Linked DNA regions of Elephas maximus indicus. The protein of the gene in region 2 interacts with the protein of the main gene of each other region in a biochemical or structural test. Links are inferred from orthologs where the notes say so. Each region holds a gene or a part of one and is shown on either strand. Other genes may lie near its edges.

Region 1 (10,579 bases), on a different chromosome or scaffold from region 2:
CATGCATATAAGGACCAAGAAGAAAATGAAAATTCCCCTAATTCAAACAGCTAGAGGTATCTGCTATATCTAGGTGTCAATTCACCGAGATATGTGTGTATATGTCTGCACAGCATATATGAACACCTATCACTAACTCTGTTTGCCAAGATAAAACTTTATTTTTGTTTATTGAACTTAATTTGTTTTAGGCCTCCGGTTTGCCTAAAAAAAAAAAAAATTAACTTAGTGACTTCCAGGTAGTTCAGTAAGGAGCCCTGGTGGTACAACGGTTAAATGTTTGGCAGCTAACCCAAAAGGTCTGTGGTCTGAACCTTCCCGCTGCTCCTCCAGAGAAAAGACCTGGCAATCTGCTCCTATAAAGACTACAGCCTAGGAAACCCTATGGGGCAGTTCTACTCTGTCCTATAGGGTTCTATGAGTTGGAATCAACTTCAAAACACAAAACAAAAATAGGCAATTCATTCATTTTAAGATTTAAGTTCTTTCAATTTCAGGTTTCAAATTCTGTCCCCTTCCTCTCACCCTCCCCCCAAAAAACTCAGCTGCCATTGAGTCAACTCTAACTCATGGGGATCCCACCTACGTGTGTTGGAGTAGAACTGTGTTCTGTAGGGTTTTCAATGGCTGATTTTTCAACAAAAGATCACCAGGCCTTTCTTCCAAGACTCAAGCCTTTAATTTTTGGTTAACAGCCAAGTGCATTAACCTTTTATACCAATCAGAGACTCCCTTATCTTCCAGGAGGATTATATTTGGATTCCATTCATTTCTGCAGGCAGCCACTGCTGATATAATTTATCCTGCTTCATCTTTGGACATCAGGCCCCTGCTTCTGGTTGCTAGAACCATGATCTGGTAAGGGCCTCCTACCTTCACTGACTCACTAGGGAGTCTCACAGGATTCTGGAAGGCTGTCCTCAGGCCCTTTCACAAAACCTTCTCCCTCACCTTCATTTCTTTATTCCTCTGGCATGTTTCTGGTCTCTGAGGCTGTGCAGATATGCAGAATACTGAAGCTACTGTAGGGAAATGAGCTACAGCTTCCTTTGCTTATGGGGTCTCTGGAAACTTTCCTGCCTTTGTGGAGCTTGGCCCAAAGTGATAGCATTCCTGATTCTTTCCCTAAGACCCTCCAAGCTTTCATTCCTGATCCTGAAAATTCTCTGGCTCTGTTGAACTTTCTCCCCTTTTGAGTGAAAGAAACAAACAAACAAGCTCTTATATTATCATTCATTTTCCTGGAATCTATTATGATGTAAACTTGGGAATTTTTTGTATGGAAGCCAGACTTTTAGAACTCCAGAGTCTTTGCCTAAGTTTTTTTTTTTTCTTTTTTTTTTTACCAAAGGCTTCAAAATTCCATTTTGTAAACCAACTGTAAAAGGACATTTTTTGAGACAATTGTGAAAATTTGATAATGAACTAGTTATTAGAATGCATCAAGGATTGATTTATTATTAATTATATTGGGTAGGGTAATGGCCTTATGGTTATATACAGTTACACTTGTGAAAGCTGGAGCCTATGTAAGGCAGAAACCTGTCAGAGAAGGAAAACTCAAACATTTTCCACTAAAACGAGCGATAGCAAAGTGTTATTAACACTACATCCTGTCAAAGGTAGAAAACTCACAAGACCCAGAAAAACAAGGCAGTCCTGTTGCATTCTGGCTCTCACAGGTTTCACTGTATAAAAGTACCTGTATTTTTTAGAGAAGTCAGTAAAGGACATTATAGGCAGTGTGGGGCGGGAAGTGACAAAAGATATGAGGCTGGAATAAGAGGGAAGGAACAGATCTTAAATAGCCACACATGCCATTCTTTGATTTCATGCTGATGGCATTAGACTGATATAATTAATTTGGACGACCAGTAGCCAAAACCAAATCTGTTTCCACTGAGTCAATTTTGACTCAGTGCGACACTATAGGACAGAGAACTGCCCCATAGGGCTTCCAAGGAGCAGGTGGTGGATTCGAACTGCCAACCTTTTGGTTAGCAGCCTAGCTCTTAACCACTGTGCAACTAGGGCTCCTCTATATGTACAGGTGTTAGGATTCCAACACATATTTTTTTTGGGGGGGGGAACAATAATTAAAGCCATTATCATCTCTTACCTGAATACAATGGTTTCTAATTATCAACTGAGGGTCCCTTTGCTTCTGTTCTTGTTTCCTGTAATTCATTAACCCCAGAACCGCCAGCGTGATTTTTTTAAAAGACTAAATCAGCTTGTCATTCTCCCGCTTCAAATATTAAATGGTTTGCCATGGCATTTAAAATAGAATACATCTTTGCTCTAGACCATGAATTCCTATGTAATCTGGCCTATACCTTCCCCATCACCCTCTTTTTATGCCACTCTCCTCCTCACAACCACACAAGCCACCCTACTACAGTTTTGTTTCTTTTCAGTTACAAATGTTTAGTTCATTTTCCAGAAAACATCTAGTGTGATATTTTCGAATTTGTAACTGTTGTAACATTTCAATCCAACTAGTACAAACTGCACTTAACCTCATTTTTTTTTTTAAAAAAGAAAGGACAAAGAATAATGAGACAGAACCCCCACAGTGCTATGTTCTTCCTCCCCTACAGTGTTGTATTGCAAAATTGTTTCCTTTGCTGAGCTCCCCCACTCAGCTTTGCATCTGAGTGCTGCTTTTCCTTGGAGATTCTATGTAAAACCAATTGCACCTGAATCATACCATCAGGAATGTTGCTGATGTAAGTTGTAGGAACTCCCTACTTGCAAACCCCTTTAAAAAGTAACCTGCCTGCCTGCCTTTGGGGAGCAGGTCGGCAGCATTAGCTCCAACTGACTCCATTTTCCTTGTACAAGGAAATACAGGTGACTTTCTTATTCTCCCACCTCCATCTCTCGTTTATTGGCCAATACGAGTCACGCCGAGTTAAGAACCTGGGGTTTCCACCCAGTAACAATCATGAAGTAAAAAACTGTGTCCAACCTGAACTGGTGGATCTGAGATGTAAGATAGTAACAATAGCGAGAAAAATGTTGACCTTAAACAGCAAAATTTTTACTTCATTCGAGAGGCAATCTTCAGCCATGGGGGTGTCATTATTCATAGATCTTAGGTCTAGAAAGAGCTAGGATCGCCTATATTCTCACATAATTTTATCTTTCTGTCTAATGAGCATGGATTCATTATTTTACAGGCAAAACATTATCGATCTGAGCATTTTCTGGCATATTTTCAAAGAATTTATGCAGAATTTGGCGCACCAAAAATGGAACTGCATTCCACTTGCCACTTAATACTTCAAGAAGAAAGGAAAATAACTAAGATACTTGAAATGCTACTATCTTCGTCTTCCTCATCGTCTGCCTTCTGTTTGGTGAGATAAATCAATAAATTGCTGCAAAACCTATCTCTCACTGCACTGCTGGCTCATGTTTACCAGCTGCCCTCTAGCTGATTGCGACTCATGACAGCCCACGTGTGTCAGAATAGAACAGTGCTCCATAAAGTTTTCAACACCTGATTTTTCAGAAGTTGATTGCTGGGACTTTCTAGGTGCCTGGGGATGGGCTTGAATTCCAACCTTTTGGTTAACAGCCTAGCATGGTTAACAGTTTGCACCACTCAGGGACTCTGGCTCAAGTTTACGGATCATCATAGTTTATTTAGGAGCCCTGGTGGCAAAGTGGTTAAGCACTCAGCCGCTACCCAAAAAGTTTGTGGTTCAAATCCACCAGCTGCTGCGAGGAAGAAAGATGTGACAGTCTGCTTCCGTAAAGATTTACAGCCTTGGAAACCTCAATGGGCAGTCCTACTCTGTCCTACGGGTTGATAATGCAATGGGTATAGTTTATTTAGGAAAATGAACAAATGTCTCTAGAAAAACTGCTTTACTGACTGCCTCTCTTACTCTCTTAATGGGACTGTAAAACGGAGCATTCTTTGAAGGGCAATTGTCAATATTTATCACATTTACAAATACATTTGCTCTTTGATCCCAGCAATTGTTTTCTGACAATCTGACAACTGCAATGTGCAAGTAGGTGTGGCTCAGAGCCATTACCAGCTTCATCCAATTCTGGTGCAGCTGAACCAAAAAGGCCTCTCTAATTGGTAGCAGCCTCTCTTTGGCTCCCAAGGCCGCAGAGCCGGCTGGTACCCGTCCTGCATGCCCTGGGCTACAGCCGCCTCACTGGCCCACCTACCAAAGGCTGAGTTCCCCTCAGACTCCTGCAATCTGGCCATGGAGTGTCTTGGACTGCCCCTAACAGTTCGTGGAGGAAAACAAGCTCCTTCCCTGGGGCAGCTACACGTGCCTCAGGGAAAACTTTGACCCAACCATTTCCAGCAATGGCTTTTGAGTTATCAATGCCCACAGAAACAGCAGTCAAGAAATCAAAAGACACACTGCACTGGACAATTCTGCTGCAAAAGACTTCTTTAAAGTATCATAAAGATATTACTTTGATGATTAAGATGCAGCTGACCCAAGCAGTGAAGCCGTGGTCTTTTCAACAGCCTCATATGCATGCAAAAGCTGGACAATTAAAAAGGAAGATCAGAGGAGAATTGGCACATTTGAATTGCGGTGTTGGCGAAGAATATTTAAAATACCTGGACTCCCAGAAGAACGAACAATTCAGCCTTGGAGGAAGTATAGCCAGGTGCTGCTTAGAAGTTAGGATGGCGAGACTCCATCTTGCTTACTTTGGACATGTCATCAGGAAAGACCAATCACTAGAAAAAGACACCATGTTTGGTAAAGAGTCATCAGGAGCCAGAGAAACCCTGCGTGAGATGCATGGGTGGATTATGCAATATGCAAGGTAAACACAGTCCTTACCTTGCTTACCAGATCATCTGTAGTGAACAATTCCACATTTTTTCACCACATCAAAAATTTTGCTTCCAGGTATGGCTGGCATCTGTCTCCCTCCCAGCCCCACAGCACCTCCCTACAGAATCAAAGCCTCTTTTCAAATTTACAACCCCTGACAGTAAGCAGGGTAAGCACAGGTTTACTTCTACCTACTTACTAATACGTAGTGCAGTTTCACACGGGTTTCACTTTGATGTGGCATGGTGAAATCCGTGTTAAATTGTTCACTAGAGATTAGTAAGCACAAGGAAGTCCGCACTTACTTTGTTTACTAGGTAATCCACCCCTGGTGAAATGGATTGACATGCTGGTTGCAACAATGCGTTCAAATTCTCCAAGGATTGTGAGGTTGGAGCAGGACCTGTTTCCTTCTATTATACATAAGGTTGCCTGAATCAGAACGATCAGACAGCAACTAAAAATAACAGTGCTGTGCTTTCCTGCATTAAGAAATGATAAATTTAATTAAAAACAACAACAAACACAACCAAAGTGGGAGAGGTGCTCTATAACTCTAAGTTCCAATTAAGATTTTCTGAAAACCGTCCAACTCATAAAACCAAAAACCAAACCCATTGCCATCGAGTCGATTCCGACTCTTAGCGATCCTAAGGACAAAGAACTGCCCCGTAGGGTTTCCGGGAAGCGGCTGGTGGATTCCAACTTATTCAATGGGAGACCCTATTCCATGTCCCATCAGAGGAGGAGAATATTGGAGGCAGGATCAGGGAGGGACTGAAGAATGAGGCTGAGGCTTAAGGCTGGGGGGGAAAGAGGAATGAAGAGACACTGCCCTGCGTTTGACGCAGAAAATCAAACAGAAAACCTAGTATCACGGGCACCGCAATCGGGCCCCGGGGACCGCGTGGCTTTCCCGCCCGCCCGCATTGGGGGCGGGGAAGGACCCGGATGGTCCCACCCCTGCAGCCCGGGCCCCCACCTTCGGTACATCGGAGCGCGGGGCGGAGTCGCCTTCCCCTCCGTGTTCTGATTGGCTTGTCTCCGTAGGCTCTTCTTCGCGATTGGACGCGCTCAGCGCCAGTCACACAGGGTCGCCGGTCTCTCGGATTGTTGGTAGCAGGGACAGCGTCGACGCCTGACTGGATTCGCGGCGTTTTATCGTCTAGTGGGGCGCTCTTCCTCGGGCGCTTGGAACCTGTCTCCGGCTTCCCGGCCGCGGGGCCTGGAAGGAGGCGTCCCCAGGCGACTGGAGAACGTTCCGGGGGCGCTCAGGAGCTCCCCTCGCCGCCCCGCGCAGCGCCATGTCCTGGATGTTCAGGAGGTACAGCGGCCGGAGGGGTGGGGCGCTGGGGTTAACCGAGCGGCGGCGTCCCCAGATGAACCTGACCTTCCCCGCGCCCCTGCCGCGCTTCCTCTGCTGTTTGCGCCGCTCGTATTTGTGGTGCCCGTCGCTCCTGGGGCCGCGGAAGAAATAAAGGCTGCAGATGGGTGGCCCCCCAGGCGAGTCTTAGGCCAGGGCCTTGGGAGGTCTCTGTCACGGGCTGTGGGGGCCTGGGGCTCCGTAGCCAGGATTCCGGCCGTGCTTTATTCCCCTAGCCGTCCCCTAGGGAGCCACTGTGCGCTGGCGTTGTGCTCGGGATGGAGGGCCGAGTGGCAGAGTCCTTGCCCCCGAGGGGCTTTGATCGGTTTATGAGCGTGCACAGACGTGCAGACACAGGCTTCCAGGGGAGCCAGAGAGGTCTGCGTGATGTGCGAGGCAAACGCAGGGAAAGGAGCGACTGCCCGAAAACCCAGTGCCGTCGAGTCGATTCCGACTCACAGCGACCCTACAGGACAGAGTAGAATTGCCCCATAGAGTTTCCAAGGAGCGCCTGGCGGATCCGAACTGTGGACCCTTCGGTTAGCAGCCGTAGCACTTAAACCACTACACCAGCAGGGTTTTAGGAGAGGGGAAACTTCCTGAAGGCCCCCCGCCCACCACACTCGCCCTCACTTTCATTGTCTGAATCGCTCTTCATGCCAATTCTGCATCATTTTATCCACGAGGGGCCTGGGGTGGTCCTGGAACCAGCGGGGAGAGGGCGGGGCTTGAGGTCAGCTCCCCGTGATGGCAGGGTTTGACTACCTGAGTGAGATAAGGATTCTTTGCGGAGGAAACGAAAGCAGTGAATGCTGCATAAGCTATCCGTGTCTACTGTAATAATCCAGGGATGGGCTGGATTATCTGTAAATATAGAAATTGCTGAGCCGTTTTGGCAAGTCTCTTCTAGCTCAATCCACATTGAAATATTGGCCTATAAGTGTAGTTACAGACATCACACATATACCATCTCATATAGATTGGTTATCCTTAGGCTAATCAAGAAATTTGTGAACACTGAACTCTGGTGGCATAATGCTTAAGAGCTACAGCTGCTAACCAAAAGGTCATCAGTTCGAATCCACCAGGCGCTCCTTGGAAACCCTATGAGGCAATTCTACTCTGTCCTTTAGGGTCGAAGTCAACTGGACGGCAATGGGGTTAGTGTTTTTTTTTTTTCCCATTCTGAATACCTTGGGTGTGGAGGAGGTTATGTTCAACAGGTAAGGTTCCTGGAAACCTCTCCTGCCCCAATCTCTGTTTTAACCAGGGTAACTCTTAGTGTATATTCAATGGTTCACACATTTGATTTCGTTTGCTGTGTGAGTAAAGTGTGAGAAAACTGGCCTATAGATAACTGGTATGGTCTTTGAGAAATACCTGGTTAAATATTGTAGTGTTTTTCGGTGACGACTTTTTTTTTTTTTTTTAAATAGAGATCCTGTTTGGAAGTACTTGCAGACTGTCCAGTATGGAGTCCATGGAAATTTTTCACGCCTTTCATACCCTACTTTCTTTCCCCGTTTTGAATTCCAAGATATTATCCCTCCAGACGACTTCCTAACTAGTGATGAAGAGCTAGATTCTGTTTTATTTGGAACTTTGAGAGGTCATGTTGTTGGACTACGCTATTATACAGGAGTAGTGAGTATAAAGTAGATATTAAGTTAAATTGTGACATATTTATGGTGTTAACCTAGAAAATAAGAGAATCTAAAAGGGGATATGTGCAGTTAATATTTATTTTTACTCTAAGTAATTGAATATATCCAGGCAAGAGATAATAGATAACTGAACTACTTTGACTTAATATTCTCTTATGCTTACAGTATACAAAGCACTTTGCCTGCACTGTTTCATTTGATCCCAGCAATAACTCTGAGGCAGATGGGACATCTGTATCCCCTTTTTATAATGAAGGAACTGAAGCTCAGAAAGGGGCTAAACATTTTGCCCAAAACACACGGATTACTAAATGGTGTATTTGGGAATGACTTCCCAGTCCATTGCCTTCTCCTCTTCTGGCCCTTAGTGCATTTCTGCATTTTAATTTTGGAAGATCAGCTCCTGCTGTGTAAGCGAATTGTCTATTGTTAAGAGCTTTTTGTCTTTTTTCTTTTCCTGTAGTGAAGACTGTCCCTGTCTCCCATTTTTTCTTTTCTTTTGTGCCTGTCTTTTTGTAGCTCTCTATCCTCTGCATTTTGTCTGTGTTGCGCGCGCGAGCGCGCGTGTGTGTCCGAAAGAGAATGTAACTTTCTCTGGTCGGTAATTTGTTATGGTGGTCTAGTATGCCTCTGTGTTACGTAATTTTGTTTATTATGAAAAATTTAAAACATACATAAAAGTAGACTATAAACTCCTGTATAACCATGATCTATATTCAACTGTTCACAAGATCTTTCCATATCTGCTTCGTGTATCCCTTTTTCCTTTTCTTTGTTCTTTTGTACTTTAAAGGAAATCCCAAACATATCAACATTTTACACCTGTATAATTCAGTGTGTATCTTTTTAAAACTACATTTTTGTGTCATTTGTATAGTGAAAGTTAATAATTTCTTCTTACATGTAAGAAGTAATTCATAATCAGATTTTCTTGTCTTTTTATAGTTGGTTTTTTCAAATCAGCATCAAAAGAAGGTTCATACATTACCTTTGGTTATTATACCTCGTAACCCTCCTGCCGTTTTTTTTCATGTCATTGACTTATTGTAGAAACCAGCTGTGTTATTCTGTAGAATGTTCTAGATTTGTTGCTTCTTCCACTGCCCCATGTTTTTCTTAGGTTGAAGCTTCTCAGATCGTTTTTTGGTTGTCTGAATCATGTTCTGCAGGAGATTTCCTTGCGTAGAAATTTTATGTTCTGGATTTGTCTATGCTTCTGTTTTCCCAATTTTTTTTTTATATTGAAAGTTTTTTTCAAGTCATTCTGTAGTTGTCTGAAAGATATTTACTAGGAAATTCTATGGAAAGGAACAATGTTTCCTCAGTTTTTACGTGTTCATAGTTGAGGAGTTTATACTTGAAGGGCAGTTTTGCTGAATATGTAATCCTTGGCCCATGTTTTCTTCCTATGTTACCTTAACGTTGCATAAAATATTACTGGTGAGAATCTTGATGCCAGTAGGGTTTTATCTCCCATATAAGTGTATTGGAATTTTTTTGCCTGGATGACCAAAGAATGTTTTTCCTTATCTTGAAAGTCCAATTGTTTTGTTATGGTATGTCTTACTTAGTATTGACTCTTCTGTAAGTTCAAATTTCCTTTTATTTCAGAAAATTTTCTGTAGCTTTAAATGTTTGTTTTGTTTCATAGCTTTAGTTTTTCTTCACTAATCTCTCTGTATGTTAGACTTTCTCAGCCCATGTCTATTATTTCCTTTGAAATCCTTTTTATTGCTTTCCTAATTTTCGTCATTTATTTCCCTTGCCATGTTTTTCACAAGTTCTGGTCACTCTTGTGTTATTTCTGCTTTTGTCTTCAATCCAGAAATGGTTTTTCTTTTTTCTAATTATTTCCTGAATTCTATTGGTTCTTATTTTATATCCATCTCTTGCCTAACCATGTAATTTCTATGCTTTTCTATTTCTGATTTGTTCTATTTTTTTTTAACTTATGTTGTTTTCTAAATTACTTTAAACAATGGTAAAATATTAGGTTATGGTTTTCTGCTGTGTTATTACTCTGAGCACAATCACTATTTGATATCAGAACAATCTTTATGACATTGGTAATCTAATAAAAATGTGGTAGGCCGATTAAAAGTCATCAGCATTTAATTTCTTCATTTTTTAAAAAAGGTGTGTTGTTTATTTTATATGTAATGCTGATGAAAAGTCATTAGCATTTAATTTCTTTATTTTTACAAAGGTGTATTATTTATTTTATATGTAATACATGTTCATTATTTTAAAAAATGGCTAAAAGAAAAAAAGAATTAAATCACCCTAACACCTACCATTCAGAACCATACCTTATTCACATTGATGTTTCTTCCACAATTTTCTCTGTGTGCATGTAAATTGCAATCATATTGTATATTAATAAAAATGAGGTCATATTATCCTACTATTGTGATTATCTCTTTCTGTTAGGTCAAATACAAACAGCTTTGCAAGTGGGTCTTCTAGGGAACCACCAGACTGGTCAAATAATGATAATTCTTTGGGAATGAGACTTTCTTTTTCGTTGCAGAAAGTGTATAAGACACATTTGCCAATTCAACACTTTTAACGTGTATAATTCAATACATTGATCATATTCATGATATTGTGTGACCATTTACCCCTGTCTTTTTCCAAATTACTCTGTCACCATTAATGGAAACTCAGTGCCTGAGAGTGAGACATTGAAAGAACTTTATCCATTCTGCTTCCTCTAGTCCCTGTCAGGC
Region 2 (11,041 bases):
TTATCAGCTTATCAATGATCCTGATTCTTCTATATCTCTACACACCCTCTCTCAACCCTGATTATTCATTCTAAAATATTAAATAATGCTCACTAGTCTCAGAACATACTTACAAAGGTCAAAGCATTTTTGGATTATGGCTGACAAATAGGATATGAAGCAGCACATCTTGATGTATACGTGTATTTCCAAAAGATCACAGCCTTGGAAACCCTAAAGGAAAGTCCCACTCTGCACACATGGGGCCGCCGTGAGTCGGAACCACCTTGACGGGAACGATCAATAACAATAACGTGGCAGACACGGAGTTCTGCATATTTAACTGTCACAACTATCTTCTAAGGTAGGAAATATTCACATCTTTACATTTGAGGAAATGTTGGGCAATCAGCAAACATCTGTTTGTGGCGAGGTCAAGAGTCAAGCCTCGGTCTATCTTTAAAGCCCGTGTTGCTATGTCTTCTCTATAGAAACTTCTTCACACCAAAGCTACTATCCACTAAAAGTATATATTTTTAAGCCTAACTTGATTTTCTTTAACTTTCCAAGACAAATCAACTTGAAATAGAGGACAAGAAAGGCTGAATCTAGATAACACATACACTTCATGGTCAGCTGATGAACAATGATAGCCTGATCCCTAAGGGCTAAATACCGCAAGTTACCATATAAAATATGTTTACATACTAGGTTCATAAAGACCAATACAAGCAACTTCCAATTTGTGAGTCTTTCCAGCATCACCCAACAAGTGAAGGGATGAAACTGTCTGTAATAATCTTCAGTAGTAGTGTTCTCTCACTGGGGAAATATCCTCATTGTTACAGAGATTGTTAAACTCTGCATTCTACACCAGGAGAGCTTGGTTTAAAACAAAAATTCTGAAACTTAACACCTAAAATACTTGGCAAATAAAAATCATATATTATGACCAAAATCTTTGCTGCCTTAAATGATAAAAGCCATAGAAATATTCAAGAGGGGGGTGGCAGGTAAGACAGGAGCCTTATAAAAACTTCAATATTCAAGAGGGAGGTGATACAGAAGACATGAGTTAAACATCAGAAATAAATACGTGCACTTATCTTTGGTGTTCAATTAACACTACCTTACGTAAAAATCACACTGTCACTAGGTTACAGAAACAATACCCACTTACAGTTATGAGAACACTGAGGAATCATCATTGCAATGTTGAAATATTCAAAGCAAATTCCACACCGCAGCAAATCATCTATCGTCTGAAACGTAAAAATACGTATATACCATGGTTAGAATATCTGCTACACAATTCTTTCTCCAACCCCTAAAAAATAACTTAATGATACTTCTTTGACAAATATGCAAACTCAAAAGCTAATTCCAGATAAACTGCAGAGGCTCTTGACAAATAGAGAACAACCTCATCCATATGATTCTTACACATTCACATCTCGGGTTACCCAAGCTGCTTTGAACAGATACACTTGACACAGATCCCTGTGCCCTACTGTCAGCCCTTCACAAAAGGGCTACTCTAGCTCTGCCTCGCTTCCCATGCGTTTCTACCTCTTACTCCAGGCCTTTTCTTCTACCCCATCCCCTGGCCTGCAGTCACTATTGGGGTGAAAGGGACCAGCAGCCATAGTCACCACACAGGTTAAGAACCAAATCTGAGAATATTAAAGCCAAACATTGGAAGTGATCTAGTTAAAGCCCTTAGTTCACAAATGAGGAAACTTGTATCCAATACGGGCACCGGGCAAGCCAGGGCTAAAATGACGCCTCCCTACTTGCAGTCTAGTGCTTTCTGCACTGTACTACACGGTAGAGTCAAATGAGGGAGCCCTGGGAATGGCTGAGGCTGGTGACAGCAAAGGCAGATAAAGGAGTGGACAGTACGGAAAGCCCAACAGCTGTGTGTCAACCTGGAACGCAATCCAAACAGGAAAGGATCTATTCTAGCAACTTAAATCTTATTACATTAAAATGCTAATCCACTCAGTACAATCCTGAGCAAATACTAAAAAGGAAAAGAGGGTGTTCCCCTATGTATTGATACGGAAAGATGGCCCAAATACGTAGTGAGGTAAAAGAAGTAAGCAAGGTGTAAGCAACACACGTGGTATGCTACCTTTTGTCCAAAGTATGGCGGGGTGGGGTAAGAATGCATTCCATTTTTATCTTACATATACATATAAAGAAATTCTGAAAAGATGCATAGGAAAATAACAGATAATGGACACTGGGGGTCAGAAAACTGCAGAAATGAGGGACAAGGTAGAGGGGAGGCTTCTACTTCTCATTTTATGTATTTCTTAAACCATGTTAGTATATTGCCTAAATTTGGAAAAAGTAACCAAAACGAAAACGCTGTTACTGATAGTACACATGAAGAAATTACATAACCATTAAAAAACACATTTTCAAAGAATAATTAATGCAATAGGAAAATGTTCATGTTTTGATGGAAATTAAAAAAAAATCAGAGACCAAATCAACAATAATACATAATAATGGTAATTATGTAGTTTAATCTTCATAACAATCTTACGAAGTCTATAGCATCAGTATCCCAAAACTGAGAAAGTGGCAGATACATTACAAAAAGTATTAAAATACTGGAGGGGGCTGGTTTCCCCACCTCAATATTCCGTGATTCAAATGTGAGCCCAATATGGGTTCAGTCAGCCCCAGCATTGAACACTCTCTGGTGCTGAACCCTGTATTTATTTATATAAAGAGCTGGAGTCTGGTTGGATTTATACACATATGTATACATACAGTCAGAGAAGACAGGGAAGCTGCCACTGGAGAACACTGTGGAAGTTGTGAAAACACATAAAATATGCTGAAGTCTACAAAGCCAGTAGATGTACAGGTTACAGAGCTCTTTGGCTTTCTCTATCTAATTCAATCTTCAAACAGCAAATAAAAAGGAGAAGGAAGGGCACAGAACTCATTAAATGCTAATAACAATAAACCCCAAAACCAAACACACCGTCATCCAGTCGATTCCGACTCCTGGCAACCCTTTAGGACAGAGTAGAACTGCCGCATAGGGTTTCCAAGGCTGTAAATGTTTACAGAAGCAGACTGTCACATCTTTTTCCTGCAAGCAGTGTTAAGTTTGAACTGTCAAATTTTGGTCAGCAGTTGAGTGCTTTAACCACTGCACCACCAGTGCAGGCTTCTGCTAATAGTAATAAAGATAAATTAATTCAATTCTTACTACATTTCAGATACCTTCAATCAGTCAACAAATAATTGTTAAGCACCCACTATATGCCGTGTTAACCACAATGAACAAAGCAAAAGGATCCCAACCCACATACATCAACTCGTTTAATCAATCCTATGAACTGTTTTCAGACAGCAGCGGTGGTTCAGTGGTAGAATTCTTGCCTTCCATATAGGAGACTGAGGTTCCACTCCAGCAAAGTCACCACCACCCATCTGTCAGTGGAGGCTTACATGTTTCTCTGATGCTGAACAAGTTTCAGCAAAGCTTCTAGACTAGGAAGAAAGGCAGGCCAGGAAGAAAGGCCTGGCAATCTACTTTCAAAAATCTGCCAATGAAATATGCATTACAACAGTCTAATTCCATTGTGCATGAGGTCGCCATGAGTCAGAGGCTGACTTGACAACAATTAAGAACAACATGAACTGTTCATTTTTGCCTCCAGTTTAGAGTTGAGGATACTGAAGCTCAAAGAGGTTAAGTAACTGACTCAAGGTCACAGTTAATAAGAGGCAAAGTCCAGATTTAACCCAGAACAATTGGAGCTCAAAATTTATGCTTTTCTCCACTCTATCTTGGCACCAAAGCCACCACAACTTCGAAACCACAGTTCTCCTGGATCCTTCCACTCTTTGTAGTGTAAAATGAGGATGTCTTAAGTCCCCAAGCACAAGAGATGACACTTGCTGACAGTAGGAAGAACAAGGTCTTATCATTATGCTAGCCTCCCCAAGTCCCTTCACTTGATCCTCAAAGTCAGTCTTACAAGTTAGAGGAACAGATACCATAATCCCCAGTTTACAAACGAGGAAAAGAACAAGAAAGTGATCCTCCCCACAATCACAAAGGTAAAAAAAACAAGCAACAAATGCTATCCAGCACAGCAAAGTGAACATGTTCTTGAGCAAATCTAGCAGGAATCCAGAGGTGATCAAAAACTGGTATGCCTTGCCAAAAAACAGGAAGTAGCCATAAAAATAAATGCTTATTTAAATGAAACTATCTTTTTTTTTTTTTTTAATCTATTGAAGGCTAGTGCTGAGCCTTGAGTCCTGATCTCTTTGTCTAAAAGAGAAGGAAATGAGGAATTGTTAGAGAGTTGTTAGAACATGGTAGGGAGGAATTAGGGCATATGTTAGCACAACCCAGCACGAAGCCTCTACAGAGTAATTAGAAGAAATGAAAAAGAATATAAAAGAGATTACCTGCTTCGTTACAGGATGTTATTCGATGCAGTGTCCTCACAAAATCATGTCCAATGTCACTTTGGTAAATTTTCAACTAGTGTACTGTAAGAGCTTATGGACTGCTTGGCACAAAGTAAGCCCTCTGAAAGGGTTAGCTGTCATCGTCGTTGTCACCGTTTGCAGTAACTGGTTTTTCTCGATGTCACTGTTACTGTTATGGCTGAACCGCAGAATACCCGGTTCCATAAGCCAACCTCAGCCCACCATGACACACCGAGGCTTGTCCTCGCCACTTCTCAGGGGAGGAAACTGAGGCGCAGAGGCACGCGGACAGCAAAAGGCAGAGAGGGTCGAAAACCCAGGCCCAGCTCGCCAACTCGTCCTTTCCCCTGACGCTGGTCCGGCCTTTGGCAGGCGCCTGGGCGCCCCCTCCCTCTCCGAAGCACTCACCTTCATGACTGCTAGGCCTGGAGGCCACTGGGGCTCGGCCAGGGAGTCCATGGTCGCTTCTGGGGAAGCTGGGGGTCCGCCTCCCACTGGTCTCCCGCGCTCCACGGCCACTCGAAATTCCCCGCGCTACTGAGCCACGACATCAGTCCACGACGCAGCTACGGCCTGCGCGAAGCCTGCCGGGAGCTGTAGTACGTGGGCGGGGCGCAGCCAAAGGTGCTCGCACTGCGCACGCGCCGGGGTTATGCCCTGCCTCTCACCGATGAAGGGGAAGGATGGGTGATTCAAAGGCTTGGAGACCGTTTTGTACCAGATCTTTGACAAATAGATGGCTATCGAATGTTAGGAAAAGGCATTCAGGAATCAAAATAAGCCAAATCCAAGCCTTGCCAAATCTTTCGAGGTCAGGCTTATCCCTCCTCCTTCGGGTCGCCCTCCCTGATTGCTGTATTGATCTGAGCCTGCTCTGAACAGGGGTTATCATATCCATTATTTCACGCCACTCCCTATCACAACACCGGGAGGTAGGTATTATCATTGTCAGTTTACACAAGAAGAAGATGCAGTCCAAAAAAGTGAAGTTTCCTTAAGTCAAGCAGTGGTATCGACCAAACTCCAAATCTAGCCTCTGGGTTTTAAATGTGAAGCTCTTTCTTTTACCTAAACGAAAATGTTCGTTTAAAAGTTAGTCCCGCTCTTTAGAGATAATCACTGTTAACTTTGGACTATGTTGTTGCTAGTTGCCATCAAGTTGGTCGACTCGTGGGGCCCCTTATGTATAACAGAAAGAAACTTTGCCAGGTTCCGTGCCATCTTCATGATCATTGGTGACAACGGCATACAGACTTCCGTGTATTTCCTATGCAAATATAAACATAGATACATTTTCCCCACAAATGTTATATTAAATGCATAACTCAGACAACTTGTTTTTCTTGTGTGCATTTGTTTCAGGGCTTTGACCTGTTCCTTCCAGTTGGAACCCTGGCTGAGAACGTGCATTTTCTAAGAAGTTCCCTGCTGGGAATTTGCATTTCCACCCCAGATATACTGAGTCAGAATCTACATTTTAACAAGACCCCAGGTGATTCTTATGTATAACTGCCTGGGAATTTGTTGGAATCACCTGGGGATCTTGTTAAAATGTAGATTCTGATTCAGTATATCTGGGGTGGAAATGCAAATTCTCAGCAGGGGTTTCAAACTGGTAGGAACTGGTACAAAGCCCTGGTTTGTTTGCTTAACCATACATCTTGAGATCTCTCCATGCTAGTACATATAGTTTACCTTATTCTTTTTAATAGCTACATAATCCATAAAATAGATGTACCAAAATTTATTCATCTACTCCCATATTGAGGTGTGATATGGATTGAATGTTGAATACTTAATCTCTGTACCTGTAAGTGTGACCTTGTTTGGAAACAGGAAGTTTTCTTTTAGAAGAAGAACGTGGCATCAGGATTGGTGGAAGACTCATTAACAACCTGCGGTATGCAAATAACACAAGCCTGCTTGCTGAAAGTAAAAAGCACTTGAAGCACTTACTGATGAAGATCAAAGACTACAAACTTCAGTATCAATTACACCTTAACATAAGAAAACAAAAATCATCACAGCTGGACCAATAAGCAACATGATGATAAATGGAGAAAGGATTGAAGTTGTCAAGGATTTCATTTACTCACATCCACAATCAATGCCCGTGGAAGCAGCAGTCAAGAAATCAAATGATGTATTGCATTGGGCAAATATGCTTCAAAAGACCTCTTTAAAGTGTTGAAAAGCAAAGATGTCACTCTGAGGACTAAGGTATGCCTGACCCAAGCCATGATGTTTTCAATCACCTCTCATGCATGCAAAAGCTGGACAATTAATAAGGAAGACCAAAGAAGAATTGGTGCCTTTGAATTATGGTGTTGGCAAAGAATATTGAACATACCATGGACTGCCAGAAGAATGAATAAGTCTGGCTTAGAAGAAGTGTTCTTTGGAAGTTAGGATGGCGAGACTTCATCTCATGTACTTTGGACAAGTTATCAGGAGGGATCAGTCCTTGGAGAAGGACATCATGCTTGGTAAGTAGACGATCAATGAAAAAGAGTAAGACCCTCAACGAAATGCACTAACAGAGTGTTTGCAACAATGGGCTCAAACATAGCAACAATTGTGAGGATGGAGGACTAGGCAAAGTTTTGTACTGTTGTACATAGGGTCGCTATGAGTTCGAACTAACTTGAGGGCACCTAACAATGACAACAACTTTTATTATGTTAATGAAGTCATACCAGCGTATGGTGAGTCATAAACCTAATCACTTCTGAGTTACAAAAAGAGCAAATATGTACATACAGACAGGAACACAGGGGGAAGAGGAAGACAGACTAAGGGGACAGATGCGTCTATAAGCCCGGGAGCTCCAGGGATTGCTGGCAGCTTCTAGAAGCTGAAAATAAACAAGGAAGGGCCTCGAGCCACACTTTGAATTCTGACTTCTACACCCCTGAACTGTGAGAAAGTAAATTTCTGTTCTTTAAAGCCACCCACTTGTGGTACTTCTGGTACAGCAGCACTAGGTAACTAAGACAAGGACGTTGAGATTGTTTCCAGTTTCTCACTATTACAAAGAGCTGCAGTGAACGCATTCACCTGTATAAACCTTGGCACACTTTTTCCAAGGTATCTGGGGGGTGATGTCCTAGAAATGGAACTACTCAGCCAATTTGTTGCTCTTTTAAAACTGTGATAGCTAGCAGTAAATAGTTCTCCAAAAAATTTCATACCAATACATTTACACTTTCACTGATAATATGAGAGGGCCTGCTGCCCACATGAGAAACACTGACCAGCTCAGTTTCCAGCCTGTCTGCTCAACTCAGCATTTATTTACTGACTTATGGGGACCTCTGTTGCACCATGTCTCACGGACAGCAAGTAAGAACAGATATTTGGCTAAGGGCAGAGCCCTGCAGCTTGTCACTGTCACCCTGTGCTTACCATGGGCCAGGCACTTGAGCTTTGTCTTAGGCTGGGCTCTCTAGAGGAGCAAAACCAGTAAAGCATGTAATTATATACATAGAGAGAGAGATTTATATCAAGGAAACAGCTCACGTGTTTAAAGAGGCTGGAGCACGCCAAGTCCATAGGTCAGAATAGAGGCTTCCCCTGATTCACATAGCTGCAGGGGCTGTCGAACTCAAGATCACCAGGTTGGAGAGCAGGGCTCTTGCTCACAGGCTGTGAAGGTCAACAAATCCCAAGATCAGCAGGCAATACTGCAAGCCTTCCCCTGATTCACATAGCTACAGGGGCTGGTGAACCCAAGATCAGCAGGTCAGAGAGCAGGACTATAGCTCACAGGCTGTGACGATCAACGAATCCCAAGATCAGCAGGTAAGCTGCTAGCTCAAGTCTGAGAAACCGGAGGTCAGATGAACAAGAGGCAGCTGTAGGATCCAGAAAGGGCAAAAGTTCGAACAAACATCCACTTATATTTGGATGCAGGCTACATATCCAAGGAAACTCCCTTTCAACTGATTGACTACTCACAGCAGATCCCATCATGGGTGTATTCACGTACGAACACTGAGAATCATGGCTTAGCCAAGTTGACACACAATCTTAACCATCACAAGCTTCCCTGTGAAGTAGGCAGAGGTAAAGTTGTTATAGTCATTCTACAGAAAAGGACACTGGAGTTCAGAGAAGTTAAGCCTTGGCTTCACTCCTTTGGGATCTTGTTGAAAGGAATCTCTGGCCCCTGATTTTTCCCAGCCTGTCTGCAAATACTCATTGGGTAATAGCAATAGTATACAGCATTTGCACAAAGGACTTCAACATCCATTACAATAGTAGCTGACATTTACTAGGTACTTGTATTCAAAGCAGAGTCCCTGGGTGGTACAAATGGTTAAGAATGACCTGGTAACCTACATTAACCATTAAAAACCCTATGGAGCACAGTTCTAATCTGACACACACACCCGTCAGCGTCCAGTCGATTCTGACTCATAGTGACCCTATAGGACAGAGGAGAGCTGCTGGCCCCATAGGGTTTCCAAGAAGCAGCAGATGGATTCAACTGCTGACCTTTTGGTTAGCAGCTATAGCTCTTAACCACCGAGCCACCGGGGCTCCCTGATACATATGGGGTCACCATAAGTTGGTATTGACTTGCTGATAACTGGTTTTCTGATTTGTTTTGTATGAAAAGCTCTGTTCTCAGTGCTTTTACACGTATTGATTTAAGACACACCCCAATCAAATGAGGTAAGCAGGTAACTTGCCCAGGGCACCTTGCTGGTGAGTGGAAGAGGAGGTATTTTAACTTGGACAGTGTAGTTTAAGAGTTCATATTAACCACTACAGAATATTCTCAGGATTCCATCACGAGAATTATTCACATTTTGTAGACATGGGAACCAAATCTCAGAAAGCAAAGGAACTCATTCAAGATCACACAGCTTGAGAGGGGGGCCAAGATGGCTGACTAGGTAGACGCTACCTCGGATCCATCTTGCAACAAACACTCAGAAAAAACAAGTGAATCGATCACATACATGACAATCTACGAACCATGACCAGCAAACACAGATTTAAAGAGTTGACCTGAGTGACAGAGATGGAGAATGAACAACTACAGGGAAGCAGAGATTGTTTTCGGAGCCTGGAGCCAGCGTCCCAGTCAGGCGGCTTCATTAACATTGGAATTTCCTGAGCCAGAGGGAGAACTGCTCCGCGGGTTTTTTTTTTCCCCCTTTTTTCTTTTTTTGGTCTTTTCCTAACCCATTCTTCCGGCCTGAGAGAAGCAACCACAAAAAACACAGGGACCAAAAATCCTTCCCTAATTGGACTAAAAACACAGAACCAGCTCCAGCCAAGCATATGTGATCCACCCTCTCCGGCTTTCAACCCTATAGGGAACAAGGTGGCTATTATAATGCAAAGGCGTTTCTGATAGGGATCTGACTGCATTTTTTTTTTAGCAGATTTACTGGAAAGACAAGTTTCCCAGGTCTGATATCTCTGCGTATTCAACAGAGCCCTCACTGACCCACAACAGGGAACTGAAGCTGAAGCTCCCCCTAGACCACCTAGCCTCCTGCCTTAGGGGTCTAAGGAGGGTGACACCTACCAATCTGTAGAGGTACTTGCATTGGGGACCTAACGTACAGCTGCAGAGCCCACCCACCAAGGTGCTTTAGGAATAGAGACACACCTACCTCACTGACACTTGGGGGAAGCCTGTCAGCATCCTGCCCCCCCAGAGTGTGAACCCCAGCTTCTACTAGAATCTGGTGCACACAACTATCACAACTACTTCTCAAGGTGGGTAGGTGATAGGGTGCATCACACACTTGATGCCCCAAAATCAGGTTCTACTCAAGAATAGTGAATGGACTCAGGCATATATATCTGGTAACAGCCCAAACCAGCTGGTAATAGGTCATAAGTAAGTCAAGGGCTACAACAATCAAGACGGCACAATCTAGTAGCCCATCCACATATATTGAAAGAAAACAAAGCAAGATAAGACTCAGTGAGCAAATATAGAATAAATCACTACAATATCTTAGTGATGGCTCAGAGACAGCAGTCGATATCAAAACACATAAAGAAGCAGACCATGACTGCTTCTACAACCCCCCAAACAAAAGAATCAAAATCTTTCCCAAATGAAGATACAATCCTGGAATTATCAGATACAGAATATAAAAAACTAATTTACAGAATGCTTCAAGACATCAGGGATGACCTCAGAAATGAAATAAGGCAATCTGCAGAAAAAGCCAAGGAACATACTGATAAAACAGTTGAAGAACTCAAAAAGATTATTCAAGAACATAGTGGAAAGATTAATAAGTTGCAAGAATCTGTAGAGAGACAGCATTCAGAAATCCAAAAGATTAACAATAAAATTACAGAATTAGACAACGCAATAGGAAGTCAGAGGAGCAGACTCGAACAATTAGAATGCAGAGTGGGAAATCTGGAGGACCAGGGAATTAACACCAACATAGCTGAAAAAAAATCAGATAAAAGAATTAAAAAAAATGAAGAAACCCTAAGAATCATGTGGGACTCTATCAAGAAGGATAACTTGCGTGTGATTGGAGTCCCAGAACAGGGAGGGAGGACAGAAAACACAGAGAAAATAGTTGAAGATCTACTGACAGAAAACTTC

Evidence for each region.
Region 1: the proteins of RAD18 (region 2) and HLTF form a complex in vitro, tested with the Homo sapiens proteins (2 studies listed by BioGRID). The link is inferred for Elephas maximus indicus from reciprocal best matches to the Homo sapiens genes RAD18 and HLTF.

What each region holds. Positions count from the first base shown.
Region 1 is NC_064841.1:10,842,576-10,853,154, forward strand, and holds the start of HLTF (helicase-like transcription factor), read left to right. Parts: upstream 1-5,916; 5' UTR 5,917-6,127; coding exon 6,128-6,147; intron 6,148-7,622; coding exon 7,623-7,830; intron 7,831-7,848; exon of another isoform or gene 7,849-8,260; intron 8,261-10,579. UniProt on the Homo sapiens protein: Has both helicase and E3 ubiquitin ligase activities. Possesses intrinsic ATP-dependent nucleosome-remodeling activity; This activity may be required for transcriptional activation or repression of specific target promoters.
Region 2 is NC_064838.1:33,900,189-33,911,229, forward strand, and holds the start of RAD18 (E3 ubiquitin-protein ligase RAD18), read right to left. Parts: upstream 5,008-11,041; 5' UTR 4,909-5,007; coding exon 4,858-4,908; intron 1,242-4,857; coding exon 1,160-1,241; intron 1-1,159. UniProt on the Homo sapiens protein: E3 ubiquitin-protein ligase involved in postreplication repair of UV-damaged DNA. Postreplication repair functions in gap-filling of a daughter strand on replication of damaged DNA.